Canis lupus familiaris: one gene and its partners. The protein of the gene in region 4 interacts with the protein of the main gene of each other region in a pairwise test. Links are inferred from orthologs where the notes say so. Each region holds a gene or a part of one and is shown on either strand. Other genes may lie near its edges.

What was found.
Region 1: the proteins of KATNAL1 (region 4) and KLC4 interact in binary tests that used the Homo sapiens proteins (3 or more experiments, as listed by UniProt). The two-hybrid records come from large-scale screens. The link is inferred for Canis lupus familiaris from reciprocal best matches to the Homo sapiens genes KATNAL1 and KLC4.
Region 2: the proteins of KATNAL1 (region 4) and KATNBL1 interact in binary tests that used the Homo sapiens proteins (3 or more experiments, as listed by UniProt). The two-hybrid records come from large-scale screens. The link is inferred for Canis lupus familiaris from reciprocal best matches to the Homo sapiens genes KATNAL1 and KATNBL1.
Region 3: the proteins of KATNAL1 (region 4) and COX17 interact in binary tests that used the Homo sapiens proteins (3 or more experiments, as listed by UniProt). The two-hybrid records come from large-scale screens. The link is inferred for Canis lupus familiaris from reciprocal best matches to the Homo sapiens genes KATNAL1 and COX17.

Annotation. Positions count from the first base shown.
Region 1 is NC_049233.1:11,765,624-11,769,595, reverse strand, and holds the start of KLC4 (kinesin light chain 4), read right to left. Parts: upstream 2,811-3,972; 5' UTR 2,664-2,810; intron 2,658-2,663; exon of another isoform or gene 2,574-2,657; 5' UTR 2,182-2,573; intron 2,175-2,181; exon of another isoform or gene 2,080-2,174; 5' UTR 1,944-2,079; intron 1,905-1,943; exon of another isoform or gene 1,746-1,904; intron 1,048-1,745; 5' UTR 1,023-1,047; coding exon 765-1,022; intron 1-764. Other genes in the region: MRPL2 (39S ribosomal protein L2, mitochondrial), read left to right, coding at 2,987-3,082.
Region 2 is NC_049251.1:1,135,080-1,139,094, forward strand, and holds the start of KATNBL1 (KATNB1-like protein 1), read left to right. Parts: upstream 1-1,205; 5' UTR 1,206-1,489; intron 1,490-4,015. Other genes in the region: EMC4 (ER membrane protein complex subunit 4), read right to left, coding at 500-614, 932-1,017.
Region 3 is NC_049254.1:23,955,767-23,959,927, reverse strand, and holds the start of COX17 (cytochrome c oxidase copper chaperone), read left to right. Parts: upstream 1-1,351; 5' UTR 1,352-1,356; coding exon 1,357-1,463; intron 1,464-3,523; coding exon 3,524-3,608; 3' UTR 3,609-3,612; intron 3,613-4,161.
Region 4 is NC_049246.1:9,765,968-9,770,136, forward strand, and holds the start of KATNAL1 (katanin p60 ATPase-containing subunit A-like 1), read left to right. Parts: upstream 1-1,368; 5' UTR 1,369-1,516; intron 1,517-4,169. UniProt on the Homo sapiens protein: Regulates microtubule dynamics in Sertoli cells, a process that is essential for spermiogenesis and male fertility. Severs microtubules in an ATP-dependent manner, promoting rapid reorganization of cellular microtubule arrays.

The DNA.
Region 1 (3,972 bases), on a different chromosome or scaffold from region 4:
GCATGCTCCACTGACTGAGCCAGCACTTCATTTTCTATTTTGCTTCACCTCATCCACTCTACTGCAGCCACACTGGTCCCTCATTGAACTCACTGGGAAGGCTCCAGGTCAGGGCCTTTGTATGTACTACCCACTCTGCTTTAGCTGCTCTTCCCCCCATTTATTGTAAGACTCACTCTCTCATCTTCAAATCTTTGCTCAAATGTCACCTTTCAGTAAGACTTTTTTTTTAAGATTTTATTTATTCATGACAGATACAGAGAGAGGCAGAGACACAGGCAGAAGGAGAAGCAGGCTCCTCGCAAGGAGCTTGATATGGGACTCAATCCCGGGACTGAGATCATGCCCTGAGTCAAAGGCAGACGCCCAACCGCTGAGCCACTCAGGTGTCCCTCGGTAAGACTTTTTTTGACCACCCTATCTAAAGTTGTGTCCTGTCTCTGTACCCCCTAGTCCCCTTCTCTGTTTTATTTTTATCCCTTTTCCTTAGCAATTATCACTCTGACATACAGAATCATTTACTTATTTGTGTATTGTTTGCCTCCTGCCACTAGAATGTAAGCTCCGAGATGGCAACGATTTTTGACTGTTGTGTCCAGTGATGTTTCTTCAGTGCCCAGAAGACTTGTGCTGGGCACAAAGTAGGGTTACTGAATGAATGAATAAATGAATGAATGCAAGCATCTAGGACAAGGCAATCCTAAATGACCCCAAATCTCCAATACTTCTCCAAGAGCCCCTTGGCGTCACCTCCTTCCTCTTACCTGGGCCTCACTGAGCCCCAGCTCAATGTTTTCCATGGAACGTCGCAGCTGCCGGGCCTTCTCATGCACCAGTCCTTCTTCATGGCCACCTTGCTGCAGACACTCAATGGTATGGGACAGACTTTGCAGGACAGCCTGATGTTCACTGTGTAGAGCCTCCAGCCCCTGGCTTACCAGCCGAGTGCTTCCCAGGATCTCCTCCTGGCTGAGCCGGTGCCCTGCAGGCTCATCCCGCTGACCCAACACCAGGCCTGACATCTTAGCCAGGGGGACCTTGCCTGGGCTGAGGAGAAACAACAGAACTCAGTAGAGGTAAAGATAAGAGAGACTGAGCACCTTGGTTAGAGGGTGGTAAGGATCCAAGGGAAGGGATGAGAGAGAGTATGGGTGATCTTCTGGTTTAATTGGAGAGACAGTGGCCAGTGGGGAGGGAGCCTACAAAGCTAAAGTTGTGGGAAAGAGAGAGGAAGAAGAATTGACTCGAATGAAGAAAGACTATAGAAGGAACAAAAGTGCTGAGAACCAGCTAACAAATTTAGCACTTAGGAAGAGAATAGAAAAGTTGTCGGAAATAGCGCTTGGGCTAGGAATAGGAAAAGGAATCAGATGAGAGACAGCATTAGAGGGAACACAGAGGGTGTCTGGAGAATGCTGCAAAGTTAACAGGGTTAAAGCCAACAAAAGATATAAAGAAAATGGTACAGAGGTTTTGTTAAATGGGAAAGGTACAGGTTTCAAAGTTAGAGGGAAGAGGGAGAGAAGAAGAAAGGCACCTTCACTGCAGGACCCAAATGAGAGTCCCCCAGGAAGCTCAAGGTCTTCAGACTCCGTCACCCTCAGAGCCAAGGCCAGCATCTCCAAACCTAGTAAACTGCCTCTTCCCCCACTAGGCCTTCAACCGATACTTCCCACCTGCCAGGTGCCAGGCTCTCTTCCCACCTCCTCAAAAGACCTTGTTTCTCATCTTTCCAGGACTCTTACCGGTTTAGAGCAGAGCCCTTGCCTGTGGCACTCAGGCCAGAGCCCGGAAGAAACTCTTTCAGTAGCCAGGTACTCACAGGATCTGCCCTGCCCAAAGTCCAGAAGTCCAGCGTTCCCACCCCTTCTCTCTCCACTTCACAGCCACCCAGAGGACCTGGCACAGAGCCCTACTCAGGGCAGCACCCTCCCTCTCTCTACCTCCAAGGCCTTCAAAGGCGACCAACGTCGGTCCCTCTTCCTTCCTGAAGCCGACCTTCCACCCCAGGCCACTGGGAGCTATTTTCTCCCAAGAATGGAGTGATACTTGATCCGAGACCTGTGGCCAGGGGCGTGTCTGGGAAGGGAGAGGAGGGAGACCTGGTCACTCCTGAGCCATTCACTTTCAAGGCTTTGTCTTTGTCATGACCACCTAGTAATAGGCTCCAAGAGGAGTCACCTCAGGGTGCCTCTCAGACGCCTGAAGATGCAGGAAAGAATGGCAGGTCTTCAGAGCGGCTGTAGAGTCACAGGGAAACGCGGCGCCGGGAGTTGGTCTCCCAGCCTGGGAATGCAGTAGAGAAATGTCCCCGGCTGTCGACCTGCCCTGGGGCCCAGGGTGGGGACAGAGTGAAACGGGCGGGGGCGATGGCGGTGGGGGGAGGTGCGGGTGGCCGGCCGAGGCCCGCCGCACCGGCGAGCCCCCAGCCGCCCGACAATCCCGAGGTCAACGTGTCTGTCCGTAGCGCAGGGGGCGGGGCAGGCCGTCTGTCTGTCTGTCTGGACGCCGAGGGGCGGGAAGACTCGCAGGGGGCGGAGTTTTTCAGCCAGTCTGGAGTTGTGCGAGGTCAGCTGGTGGGAATTTGTTCATCTGTCCGGGAATGCGGAAAAGAGGTAGCGGGACCTCAGCCCTCAGCCCCAGGAGTACCCTCGAAGACTCACCCGCAGTCTGTCGCTCTGGCCGCCTCCCTTGCCGGTACTGCCCCTTTAAATTAATCATGGCTGCCGCTCGAGGCAATTGTTTTGACGGCTCCGAGGGGAGGGGCCGAGTGCTCCCCAGTCACGCGACCTAAGGACCGCCCGGGGATTGGCTCTGGCCACGCGCACGGAGGTGTGTATGCACCTTGGGCTCGGAGTCTCTGCCCACCTCTTTACGTCATGAAGGAGCGACCGCACCAGGATTCGTTGGCGTCATCTATAGACGCCAGGCGGCCTGACTAAAAGTAATGGTGGTGCGCTGACTCCTGCGGAGCCTCGGTACCCTCATGGCCCTGAGGGCACTGACTCGCGCCCTGGGCTCCCTGAGCCTGACGCCCCCAGCCGCTGCTGCCCTCGGCCCGGGCCTGCTGCCAGCAGCCCAGGTAATCCACCCTATCTGGAAATGCTGTTTCTGTTCGGGCCGCCGGAGAGGGTACCCCGGCATGGGAGGCGGAGAATGAGTCTGGTCAGAAGTCACGCCCGCCCGGCCCGAGCGCTTGAATAAATCACTCTCAGCCTCAGCTTTCTGATTTGTTAAGTGTTCCTGTCCCACCAGGCCGCTGGATTCCTCGGATGAGATACGGAGGCGAAAGTACTTTACAGGCCACTGTACAGGGTTCAATAGTAACTGATAGCACCAATCGTAAGCCAAGCATAAGTAATAGATAATTTAAAGAAATGAACTCCTTTCAACCAATGTATAAGGCAGTTGTCATTACCATTTTATATATGAGAAAACTGATTGGCAGTCCAAGGTCATACACCAAATATTGGAGCTAGACAGTCTGGCTTCACAATCTGGGCTCTTAACCACTAAAGATGAATTATTGCTGAGATTAGAGAATGCGGGGCAAAATAACAAGATTAGGAGCCGAAGGAAAGGTATCCTCTATGTCCCTTGTGGACGATTGGTAAGTCACAGAAAAGTTTTAAGTCTTGTTCCTCTGGACCTTTCTGGATGATGGTAGACTTTGGCAGATGCATACTTAAAATTCAAAACCAAGGTAACTTACTCCAAAATGCTGGGAATACAGCAGAGAACAAGACAAATGATCCCTCCACCCCATTCACATCTGGAAAACTCCCAGAAACAGAATACAGAGGGGCAAAAGGCACTGGCACTGATGGTGGCTATGGGTGTGTGAAAGTTACCAGGCTTGGAAAAGGGAATTGTTTAGGGAAGGAAGAGCCTCCCAGAGAAGAGAGGTTCTGAGCCAAGTTTGGAAGGTGATGCACAACGGGAAGAACATGCCATTGAAGAAATACTTCGGAG
Region 2 (4,015 bases), on a different chromosome or scaffold from region 4:
GGGGGAAGAGTGTTCCAGGAAGAGGGAAAGAACATGTACAAGCAGTCCGAGAGAGATGGAAGCCTGCCCGCTATTTTCAAGGAGCAGCAAGGAGGCCATTCTGACTAGAGTGGAATGAAGAACAAACGGGAAAGTGGTAAGAGATGAAATCACTCAGAATGACAGTTAAAACAGGAAGCAGTGAAAAACAGCAAATTTTTCATCTGTCTCAACATAAAGCAAAAAGAATATCCTGACACACTGGCTGTGTGGTTGTAAGGGAACTAGAGTAACTCTTACGCGCTGGCACTAATAATTTTCAACCTAGTTATACGTTCAAACATCTTATTTTTCCAATTATTAAGCGCTTGTACTACTGTAAGTTAATCTCAAGCAGTTTATCTACCCATATTAGGGATAAGCCTCCTACAGTTGGCTATTCATATGCTGCCTGGGACGGGAGGGGGCCGTGCAGGGCAGAGCCGGGCTGAGCACGGCTGTGACAGCTGTACCTCTGTACCTTCTCCACCAGAATGCGGTCCGCCTCTTGCACGCTGGTATCCGGCACTTGCTTGTCCAAATAACCGACGGGGTACAGCGAGTCTCCCTGGCCACCGCCCCGGTCACTTCGGCTCCTAAGGAACCAAACCAAGAAACTAAGGCTGCAGCCTCCCACCCTTCACATTCCACGTTCCCGCTCCACTAACCATGGAATTTTCCAAAGACCCTAAAATACACCCGCCCAGATTAGAACACGCCGTCTCGTGGGTTCGTCAGACGTCTGCCTATCGAGTGAGTGAAATCAGGATCCTCGGAGGATTAGAAAGCTCCCCGGGGCCCGTCTTTGTGCCACCCGTCATTCTCGGAGGGTTGGACCTGGGGTCAGGTCCCGTTCCCGGGCGACCGTTCTGGTTGAAGGCTCGGGTTACCGAGCTCCGCCCCGGCTCCTCACCTGCTGCCTCCTCCAGGCCCGCTCAGCTCAATGGCCCACTTGAAACGCCGGCCTCGGTTGGCCACCAGGCTCCCCTGGGCCGTCATGGCACCCGCCTCCTACCGGAGCAGCGAACCTCGTCACTCCCCGGCGGGGTCCAGGCCCTGGCCCCGGCCCCGGCCCCGGACGCCGCTACGTCTGGGTCTCCCCGCGGCCCGCTTCCGGCGCTTAGCATAGACGTCACTTCCGGTCTGGAAGTGGGCGGGGCCTCCGCGGGGGCGGGGGGCCCCGCCGCGGAGGACGGCCGGCCGCGGCTCCCCAGGTCGCGCGGCCCTGGGGGTGTATCCCGGGAGCCCCGACGTGCACGCGAGCGAGCGAGCGGGAGGCGGGCTGCGGTGCGCCCTGCCCCTGCGCTAGGGGTGAAAGCCGAGCTCGCCTTCTCGAGTTCCTGCGCGCCCCGGAAACACGAGGCGCAGGCCTCGGCTTCACGCCCGGATCCGCGTGGGGTCCTCCGACCGGGAGCGGGTTCTTGACTGGCTTCCCGAGGCGAACGAGCGCCTGCCAGGTCCCGGGAGTTGGGTCTGTGTTATTCAAGTCACATCAATCCTGCTGATGAAGTTTTGGAATCGGGGTGGGGGGTGGGGTGGGGTGGGGTCCGGTCCGCAGCCCACGACCGAGGAGGAAGTCTGGAGACGTCTTTGGTGCAAAATGGTGCTTTCATTAAAGCCCGGGACGGGACCTGGGGGCAGGAAGGGCTGCAGCCCCCTTGGGTTCCCGGGGGTGGCTGACGCTACACCTGGGGGCTGGGGGCTTGAGGGCAAGGGAGGCTTTCAAACGAATGTCTGTAGGCTGACGCGGGCCTCGGGCCTCGGGCCACTGGCGGCCTTGCCGGCGGCCAGTTAAGGCGGTTCTTCCTCTAGTAAAGCGTTAACGTTCGGACGGTTGGGCGTCTCCTTCTGGACGTTAGGCTGCTGATACGCATGCGTTTTTCTTGTGAATCACAAAGACCCCGAGGGACACTTGTGCCGTAGAACTGTAGCCCCTCGGTTAGCTGCTCTTCCTTTCCCTTCGCGTCAGGGCCGGCAGGAGCGCCTCAGGAGGCCACATCCCCTGGGGCGGGCGGGCCTCGTCGGCGGCGTGTCCGCTGAGCTCCGTCCTCAGCCTTGTGTGCCCTCGTCGCGCAAGGCGAATCCTTCTGTGACCTTGCTGCCCCAGAGCTGGGAGCAGTGCGGACGTGGGCAGCTTATGGGCTTGACATTCAGATGGCCTCCCTCGGATCCTGGCTCTTTACTTACTTGTGTGACTCTGGACACGTTAGATATTTAGGGCTTCAGCCTCTTCGTAGGTAGGAGTTGGATAATCCACCTGCTTTAGGACGCCTGGGGGGCTCGGCGGTCGAACGCCTCCCTTCCGCTCGGGGCGTGACCCCGGGGTCCCGGGATGAGGCCCGCCCGCCCGCCCGCATCGTGCGCCCTGCAGGGAGCCTGCTTCTCCTCTTACTGCCTGTGTCTCTGCCTCTCTCGGTGTCTCCCATGAATAAATAAATCTTTTTTTAAAAAAAATTACCTACTTGCAAGGCTTATGAGGGTAAAAGGAGTGCCTGCCACGAATGCTTTTTTTTTTTTTTTTTTTTTGATTAAAAAAGTACTCTAAAGAAGCGCCTGGGTGGCACATTTGGTTAGGATCCGCCTTCAGCTCCCATCATGATCCCGGGGTCCTGGATTGGAGCCCTGCATCGGGCTCCCTGCTCAGTGGGGACACAGCTTATCCCTTCTCCCTCTACCTCTGCCCACTCCCCCACCCATGCTCTCTAGCTCTTACTCTCTTTCAAATAAAATCTTAAAAAAAAAAAAAAAGCACACTAGCTATTGGATTTTTGTATTGAGTTCTATACCTATATAATAATATAACCTGTTATGGATACTTGTTTCCCGTTTTTTTTTCCCCTTTTATAAACAAACAGTGTTTATTAACCCTATGTCTTTTCTTACTAAAATTCCTAAGAATGCAGTTGCTGGATCAAAGATTGCACGTTTTTTTTTTTTAAGATTTTATTCATTTCTTCACAAGAGCCACAGAGACAAAGAGGGGGCAGAGACACAGGCAGAGGGAGAAGCAGGCTCCATCCCAGGACTCCAGGATCACACCCTGGGCCGAAGGCAAGGTCTAAACCGCCGAGCCACCCAGGAATCCCCAAAGATTGCAAATTTTTAAGGAATTTTCATTTTAAATGTCTTCTAGCAGTATCCATTTGCACCCATTTGCATTCCACCAGCCTTATATTATTTTTAAATTGGTTTGAAAATGGTTCTGTATTTTCAGACTTTTATTCCTTTGACTCCAAGTTATCTGATATGGTCAGGGTTGGGGTGAGGGAAGAAGAGTGCTATGAGAGTCTGGTTGGGAGGTGAGGTTGAAAAGGGCCAATTAGAGAGTTTGGACCCTTGAAGATGATGGTGATCTAGGGACACAAGATTTCCATCCCCATTTTGTCTTCTCCTTTTAAAGATATTTTGTGTTCATGGCAGACTGTTTGAATAAGGTGGAAAAGGCTTTTCCCCTTCCAGTTCATTCTAAAATGTGTATTTATATGATCATAGGAAGACCAGACCTGTGGATTGCTTTCCTGCTTCTTTCTACTTTTCTGGCTTTATCTGTTATCTCTAATGAACCTTTGAGACTGATGTCAGACTGTACAAGGGTCTTGGCCCTATTGGGCAATCTTCTTTGTCCCAGAACAGTCTATGTAATAGCACTTACCAAATTGCACTTGTGTTTGTTGACGTCCCTTGAGCACGTATCTACCCTTCTTGCTGCACTATGCCCTAAATTCCTTTAAGTTAGGAACTACATGTCAATTATTTTGGATTCCACTGCCTAGAACATAATGTATTGAATAAATGTTTAGTGAATATGAGCAAGTTAATAGAAAGTAAATATACTATAATTACATTTATGTGAAAAAATGTAAAAACTCAAAGAGAATACATGTTAGGGTGTTATATATTCAATCAATGGTTTCCATGAAATTTTTTTTGATCAAACTATTGTCCTGCTTCTTAAATAAATTGTAAAGCGGGATCCCTGGGTGGCGCAGCAGTTTAG
Region 3 (4,161 bases), on a different chromosome or scaffold from region 4:
TTCTTCTCTCGGCAAGCAGTTCCTTTCCCACCAATGCGCACCTGTGCTTGCAGTTTGGCGAGTTTCTCCCCGTTCACAATGGTTTCTTTCCTCTTGTTGGAGCAGAAATGGGACCGCGCGCGGAGGGGAGGGGAGGGGAGCGGGGGGGGGGGGGGGGTGGCGCTCAGGGGGTCTCGGGAGACCAGGTGCACAAACCGAGAAATCATTTCTATACAGCGCCAGTTTACAGCCATACCTACGGATTCCCCGAACCAAATCTCTAGCATACAGAAACGAACCTTGCTTAGGGGATACTGAGAAGTTTGATTACCCAAAATATCAATCACTAGGCAGCTCTCTGACGCCTTTAAGTCCTGGTTTTAAAAAAAAAAAAAATAAGTTCAATCCCTTTCTCCCAACAATTCTCTACAGGAAAAACAAAACAAAACAAACACAAAACACAACAACCCTCCACAACTGCAAATAGTAGGCATCCGTTTACTTATGTACCTAATGGAATTCGAGACGTGCCAAGGAAATAGTCATTTTTCAACTTCATTAACTGGTCTCTCTGCCCTACGAGTGAGAACAAGTCATAGTGAAATCAAATCACTCAGAAAGGGAGCTAGGAACAATTTTTCGCGAAGAATTAAAGTGTAGGGCAGCCCGGGTGGCTCAGCGGGTTGGCGGCTGCCTTCGGCCCAGGGCGTGACCCTGGAGACCCGGGGTCGAGTCCCACGTCGAGTCCCACGTCGGGCTCCCTGCGTGGAGCCTGCTTCTCCCTCTGCCGTGTCTCTCACGAATAAATAAATAAATAAAATCTTTTTTTAAAAAAAATTAAGGTGCATGGAGAACGGCAGGCGCGTTTTCCCCTCTCACCGGTGGGTCGCACTGTTCAAATGTCTTTGCTCATCAAGTTTAACTGAATCAGAAAATGGGAGGAGCGGGCCGACCATCCGACAGCAGGAAACACGCGGAATCGATCCGTGACTCGGCGGGGAACCGGCTTTCGTCAGCGGTTCCTCCTGGTGGGCGTGGACAAGTCATCTCACCCTCTCGGGCTTCGGTTTCCCACCGCTGGGCGGAGATACCTGCCGGTCGCCGCCTTTCCAGCCGCCCCCGGGGCGCCTCACAACCTGCCCTTTCACCCCGCGCCTCTCTGCGCCTGCGTCGAAGAAGCGCCCGCACTTCATTGCCTGTTAGCTTTCTCTGCGCAGGCGCCAAGTTTCCCCACCTCCGTCTCCTGCGGTGGGGGGAGGGGCGGGACTTCCTGTCCCCCGTAGGGCTCCGCCGGAAGTGACGGCGAGCGAATCGGCGTGCGCCGGGCCTGGAACCGGGTAAGGTGGCGGTGCTCATTGCTGCCTCTAGGCCTCAAAGATGCCGGGCCTGGCGGCCGCAAGCCCTGCCCCATCTGACTCACAGGAGAAGAAGCCGCTGAAGCCCTGCTGCGCCTGCCCGGAGACCAAGAAGGCGCGCGATGCGTGGTCAGTGCGCAAGCGGGAGGGGGCGGCGGGCAGGTGCCTCCGTACCCCGCTCGGCCTCGGGCTCGTACCGGACCCGGCTCGCTGTGCTGCGCCCTTGGGAGTTGTAGGGCGCCGTGGGCTGTGGGCCGGCTGTCCCCGTAGCCCAGCCGGGGGACGTGGACGAAGCGGGCTCGCTTCACCCGTTCAGCTTTTCTGCAAAGGGTCTTTGAGCATCTGTTACGCGTCAAGTGCTGCCCTTCGGTCTCCTAAATACGTAGAAATAGATGAAAGATGCGAATTGACTTAAAAAGGAGCTTAAAATTAATGGAAGTCTATACTAATGATTGCTGTTACCACCCGGTACGGGGTAGGAGAGAAGACTTGGCAAGATCGAAGAGTAAAAGTTTTCTGGTAAAATTTTAGCACAGCGGGACCCGGTTACGTGTCTTAAAAGTACTGGAGTCCCCCTTGCCTCTCCTCCTCCATCATCTTTGGAGAGATGAATGAAAAAAATCATCTGTGAAGCAGGGTGACACCGTGTTGAGAATAGTACATCTAAATTACCAATTACCATCAACCCACGGAAGGTTTCGTTTCTTTTCATTTGATACCGCCTCCGTTGTGGATTGTGGAACAAATCTCATTCGGGGGAATGGGCAGAAAATGTGAATGCACACCTCTCCCTCCAGCCCCTTTTTTATCCTCACACCAAAAAAAAAAAAAAAATTCAAAAGTGGCATAGTGCGGTTAAGTTGTAAGGAGCTTAGTGCTTTTTATTACTGCTCGATACTTCGCAACTAATACCGCGAAAGAATCGAAAGGCGACAGTCTGATGCAGAAATGGCTTTCCTAGTTTACAGTAAGTGCTTATTGAATCTTAAAAAGAGCCCGGAGTCATGACTGAGAGCCTGAGATGCAGAGTCAAGGTTTGATTTGAATCCTTGGTCCACCAGCTTTGTGACCTTGAGCAAATCACTTAAGGTACCTGCGTCCTGTGTCTGTAAAATGGGTCTAATAAAAGTGTCCGCCTCTAGGATTACTGTACAGGTCAATGATACAAGCCACACGAGGGCCTCGCCAGCTGTTCTCTTCACAGGGGGCTCTATCCCCAGCATCCCTTCATCTGCAGGCAGCCCTTGAGCTATTGAAGGATGTATGGTCTTTCTTTCTTTCTTTCTTTCTTTCTTTCTTTCTTTCTTTCTTTCTTTCTTTCTTTCTTTCTTTCTTTCTTTCTTTCTTTCTTTCTTTCTTTCTTTCTTTCTTTCTTTCTTTCTTTCTTTCTTTCTTTCTTTCTTTCTTTCTTTCTTTCTTTTCTTTAAAGAAGGAAAACCTATCCTTCCGATTGTTTTCATGTTAGTTGCCTCAGACCACTATGCACAAATATCTATAGTCAGTAGTCAGTTTTTTCTTATAATTAAATTCGGCTTAACTTCATCTTTACTAAAATTGCCTTTTCAGGCCCTAGAAGTCAAGCTGTATGGTCCTAGTTTTTACTTTGTGCATCCTACAAATAGAAAGTTCTTTGATCATCATGAGGGAGGCTCATTAGGCTGCTGTTGGCTGGCAGATCTTGATGTTTATGTGGTTGGGTGTATTTTGATTAGAAGGAGATTTATTTGGGTCTATTTGAATGTAGGGCAGAATGAAAAATTTAATTATTTTATAGTAGGCAAATTGAAGGTAAATGTTCAGATGGTTTATTTCATTAGAGAACTATGTATGTTCCTTGGATATAAGCTAGAGGCAATATTTGATAGGCATAATTATTTCTTCTAATTAGATTCTCCCTAAAAGCTAGTTGTCTGTGGAATATCTTCATGGGCACAGAAATATTACAAAAGCCAATAAAAACAAAGCCATTCGGTGTAATAGCATTTTTTTTTAAAGCTCCAGCTACTGTTGGCAAATCAAACTCCAATAAAAAGATAAATACAAAAATGAAGAAATAAAAAAATAAAGCTTCAGCTACATTCCATCAGACCCATGTTCTGTCTCACCCCCCATCACTATCATGCTGCTTGTTTACTAGTAATGTACTTAATGCCTACTTTGTTAGATAACAAGTACATTTTGTTTTATAGCATCATTGAGAAAGGAGAGGAGCACTGTGGACACCTAATTGAGGCCCACAAGGAGTGCATGAGAGCCCTGGGATTTAAGATATGAAATGGTGAGCGTGATACTTTCTGATTGGGAAGATAATACATAAGCTTATTGCTTCAAATTTGTGCTTTGCATATTTAGCAGTCATTGGGCAAGCTTCCATTCAAAGTGTAGTTCACCTGGTTAAGATGCTCAAGTCTCACTTAAAAATAATTTTCAGTTTCTAATGTAGGGACTAAATGATGCTAATAAGTTGAGAGGCATTCAGTGGATTTGGGGAGGGAGAATTTATCTTTTAAAACAGGGTTTGATAAAAGCCTTTAGAGTTACGTCAGAGTCAGAAGAGATAATAATTTAAGAAGCTCAGAATGTTCAGTTGTCTGACTTAAAGGAACTAAAAAGAAAATAATCTTTACTTCTTGTCTCTGAAGTGGGTCTTTATTTTTTTAAGGATTTTGTTTCTTTGACAGAGAGGACAAGCAGGGGGAATGGGAGAGGGAGAAGCAGACTCCTCACGGAGCAGGGAGCCAGATGTAGGGCTCCATCCCAGGACCCCAGGATCATGAGCCGAAGGCAGATGCTTAACCAACTGAGCCACCCAGGTGCCCTGTTGTGG
Region 4 (4,169 bases):
CAAGAGACATTTATTGGTAGAAAATGACAGGGTAATTCTGCCGCCCCCCTTCCTCCGTTTATTTAAATTACTAGGTCTCATTTTCCTCATCTGCAAAGTCTGGAGATTGGACAGAGACCATCTCCGTGGTTTCTATTAGAGTCTACAGCTCTAATAACGATGTTACAGATGCAGAGAACAGACTGGTGGTTGCCAGATGTGGGGATTGGGAGTAGTGGGTGAGGAGGGTGGTCGAAGGGTACAAATTTCCTATTGTAAAATAAGTCAGTCCTGGGGATGTAAGGTACAGCCTGGTGACCAAAGTTAACAACACTGTATTGTATATTTGTAAGTTGCTAAGACTGATCTTGAATTATTTTTATGTTTTTTTTTTTTTTTTTGAGGTACATTCACCTACAGTGAAATGTGCAGATTTTACGGGTACTATTCCATGAGTTTTGACAAAGGCATATGCCTCTGTAACCCGAAGCCTAAGGAAGAGACAGAGCTTCTCCATCACTAGAGAATTCCGTCTTCAGCCGCACCCCAGCCTCCCCTCCGGCCACCCCTCTTCTGACTCTTACCACGAAGGGTTAAATAAGATTTAAACATTGTTAAATGCCAGTCTTTGTTTCACAGTGGTCCATCGGTATCGACGCCCTGATTTCTCCAAGGCACTGGGCACTAGACATCGTCTCCATTTTGCAGAGTAAGGCGTTCCGCATCCGGGAGTGAACTGCCCCCGGGGATCCGCTGCCCCGGGTAGGGGCAGGGCGGGAACCGAGAAGCGGTTCTGCGGTTTCTACGGTTTCTACGGCCCCGGCCCCGCACCTCTGAGAAGGCTGCTGCAGAGTCCACAAACCATCACCTCAGGAATAGCATACGCCTCAAACGTTCAGCCCAAATCGGCGCCTCTTAGGCGTTCTCAGACCTCAACAATCCGAAAGGCCGTACGCTCTACACCTTACTAAGGGACTCCTCTCCACCCTGCTCCTCCGAAAGCGGCAGAGGGTGTGCAACACTGCAAATGGGATTTTGCTGGTGGAAAGGCCAAAGGGGGACGGGCCGGCCCGGGCCCGACGACCTTTACGGAGCCCGGCGGCGAGACGCCCGGCGCTGCCTCCTCCGGCGCCACAGCTACCGTCTCAGAATAGAGCGGCACCGAGGCGCTCCGCCGACCGCAGCGGACCAGCGTCCGGCCGAGGGATTGGCCGCGGCCGCGGCAGGGCTCGTCGGGCAGTCCCCGAGCTCGATCAGCCGCGCGTCCTCCTCCAGGTCACCGCCCGCCCCTCTCCGCCTCACCCTTGCGCCGCCCTTCCCCCGCACCCGGGCGGGGTTCTCAGGCTCCTCCCCCGAGTTGACTGTGAGCCTCTGTGCTCCCCCCACCGCTCGCCTCGCGGCTGCCATGGCAACCGTACGCCGCCGCCGCCGCCTCTTCACGCACGTCGGGAACTAACGGACTCGGCGGCCGCAGAGGCCTGTGCCCTTCCCCCAACCGGGCCGCATCACCAACCGGCGGCCGAGCTGCGGCACCTAGGTAATGAATCCGAGGGAGAGGGGCGCAAGCAGGAGAGCAGGTGGGGGGGTATCCAGGCTGACAGCCCCACCCAGTGTCCCGCCGCCTAGGCGGTGCGGCGGCGCGGCGGTCGGGGCGCCGGCAGGGGAGGTGGAGAACAGTGGGAGCTCGAGGCTCGCGGGGCATTATGGGGATCGTAGTTTAGCGGCCCCGCAGGCTTGCGGCCGTGGCGGCGTGGCCTGGACCGGCGAACTACAAAGCCCGGCGGCCCTGGCTGCTGGGAAAGACCGATAAACTTTGAGCCTACCGGGCCAGAGAAAATCTGTGTCTTTGTGGTGCTGGGGCTCTTGGGTGGTCGCCGAACTGCGCTCTGCGCTGGGAAAGGGAAGTGGAGGTGAGACTTGGGCTTCCCGTCCTGCCGTTTGGCCCGCCCCGGTTAACAGCGCTCAGCCCCACCCCGACTGGGCTGGGCCACCGCCCCCGGTAGTCTCGGTGATGAGCAGCCGCCCCAGCTGCAGGGCCTCGGGCCTGCGGCGCCTCTGACCCTCCCAGGTTGCTGCTGCCGCTCGGTGCCGAACCGTATGTATGGCACACATTTGATGGGAGACCGAGAAACGGTTTTTTTTAACAGGCCTTTCTCCTTTCCCTAATACGTTTATTTTTAGATATTTAATCATGTTTATTCTGAAGTAGCTCGGAGGTGTTTGCATATTAAAGCCATTAATAATTACTCAGAGGGCATTAATATTTAAAGGTCAAGTGTAGAAGTAGAGACCATGCTATTATATAGTAATACCTTAAAAAAAAACCGTTCTGCCTTTTGCGTTTTATTTATTGAGGGTCAATATTGTAAAATGAGCCCCCCTCACCCCTACTTAATACTAGCTTGAACATTACCTACACATATTTGAAGATTAATTTAGCTTTAAATTACTAGTGATTTTTAAAGCACAGACTGGTCTTTTTTTTTTTTTTTTTTTAAAGCAGTGAGTAGTAGTAATTATTTTCTTTGATTATTTTAATGTTCTTTAGAATTTCTCGGTAGCATGTTTTCAGAATGAAAAATGCCGTGTTCTACTTAAAAAAAAACAAAAAACAAAAAACTCTGCAATACACCTTAGTCCTTAGAGTTGGCTCAGGCCTTGGTGGTAAGGAAGCCCACCAGATTTAAAAAACCTGCCTTGATTATCTTTTAAAATTTTTTCAACAGGTAGATAACGATCCTAGAAATTTGGTATTTTATAGAGTATGTGGAAAAAATTGATAGTAGAGTGGTCTTATTTTGTGTGTTTTACATCATTTTTTTAAAAAAGAATTTATTAGCACAAGCAGAGGGAGCAGCTGAGGGACAGGGAGAAGGAGGCTCCCAGCTTAGCAGAGCTTCTTGATTCCCAAGACCCTGAGATCATGACCTGAGCCAAAGGCAGACACTTGACCAACTGTGTTTTATTTATTTATTTATTTTTAAACTTAAAAAAAAAAAAATTAGTTTTGAGAGAGAACAAGTGGGAAGGGGCAAGGGCAGAGGAGGAAACAAACTTTCCACTGAGCAGCAGGGAGTCTGATGCAGGACTGATCCCAGGACCCTGGGAGCATGACTTGAGCCAAAGGCAGATGCTTAACTGACTGAGTCACCCAGCTCCCCAGACTGTGTTTTAAACAAGAAAATAACACAGCGCCCCTACAAAATTCCCTTTTTCTCAAAATAAGACTGGCTTGTAAATTTTACTTAAAGTACCAATTTTTTACAAGGATATGGAAAGTAAATTTTGTAAGACCATTATAAAAAAATTGAGGCCTTATTAGGGGTTGGAAGCATTTTATTTGTTTATTCAAGATTTGTTAAGAACCTATTATATTGGGGACACCTGGGTGCCTCAGTGGTTGAGCGTCTGCCTTTGGCTCAGGGCGTGATCCTGGAGTCCAGTGATCGAGTCCCACATCGGGCTCCCTGCATGGAGCCTGCCTCTCCCTCTGCCTGTGTCTCTGCCTCTTTCTGTGTCTCTCATGAATAAATAAATAAAATCTACAAAAGAACCTATTATATTGTATATTATGCCTGGTAGTGGGAATAAAAAGATGATAGAAGATAATCTGTGTTCTGTATGAGCAAACAGTTACATCATCACAATAGTATGATAGAGGTAGGTGCAAGTTACTGTAGGATCCCAGAGTGGGAATAAATAGTCATATAACATTTAACTGTTATTGAATACTTAATTTTAGTGAGGCTCCGTGCAGTATTTTGCACGTAGCCCATTATTTAATTCTCATAAAAATTTCTAGCTACTGTTATTTAGAAATGAGGAAGCAAACTAAGAGATCTTGTCCAGAGTCATAGGTGATAAAGTTTGAACCTGGGATTTCAACTCAGGTGGGGTATAACTCATTTAAGTCATGATCTCAGCCCCTGATGCCATTCTCTGTACCCATTGGTAGAAAGATTCTGACCCTAAGGAGATTAGGGGAAGTTTCCAGTATGGTGTGACATTTGACTTGTGTTAAGAAAGTTGAGTAACCTTTCAATGGAAGAGAAGATGAGGAAAGTCATTTTAGGCAAATGGCAAAGGATAATTTCTAGTGGTTTGTGTTTGCAGAACCCTAGGTCTTTCTTATACCTCAGTCCCAGAGTATGAGTACTTGCAGTGTAGTGGGTGGAAGATGGTAAAGTACT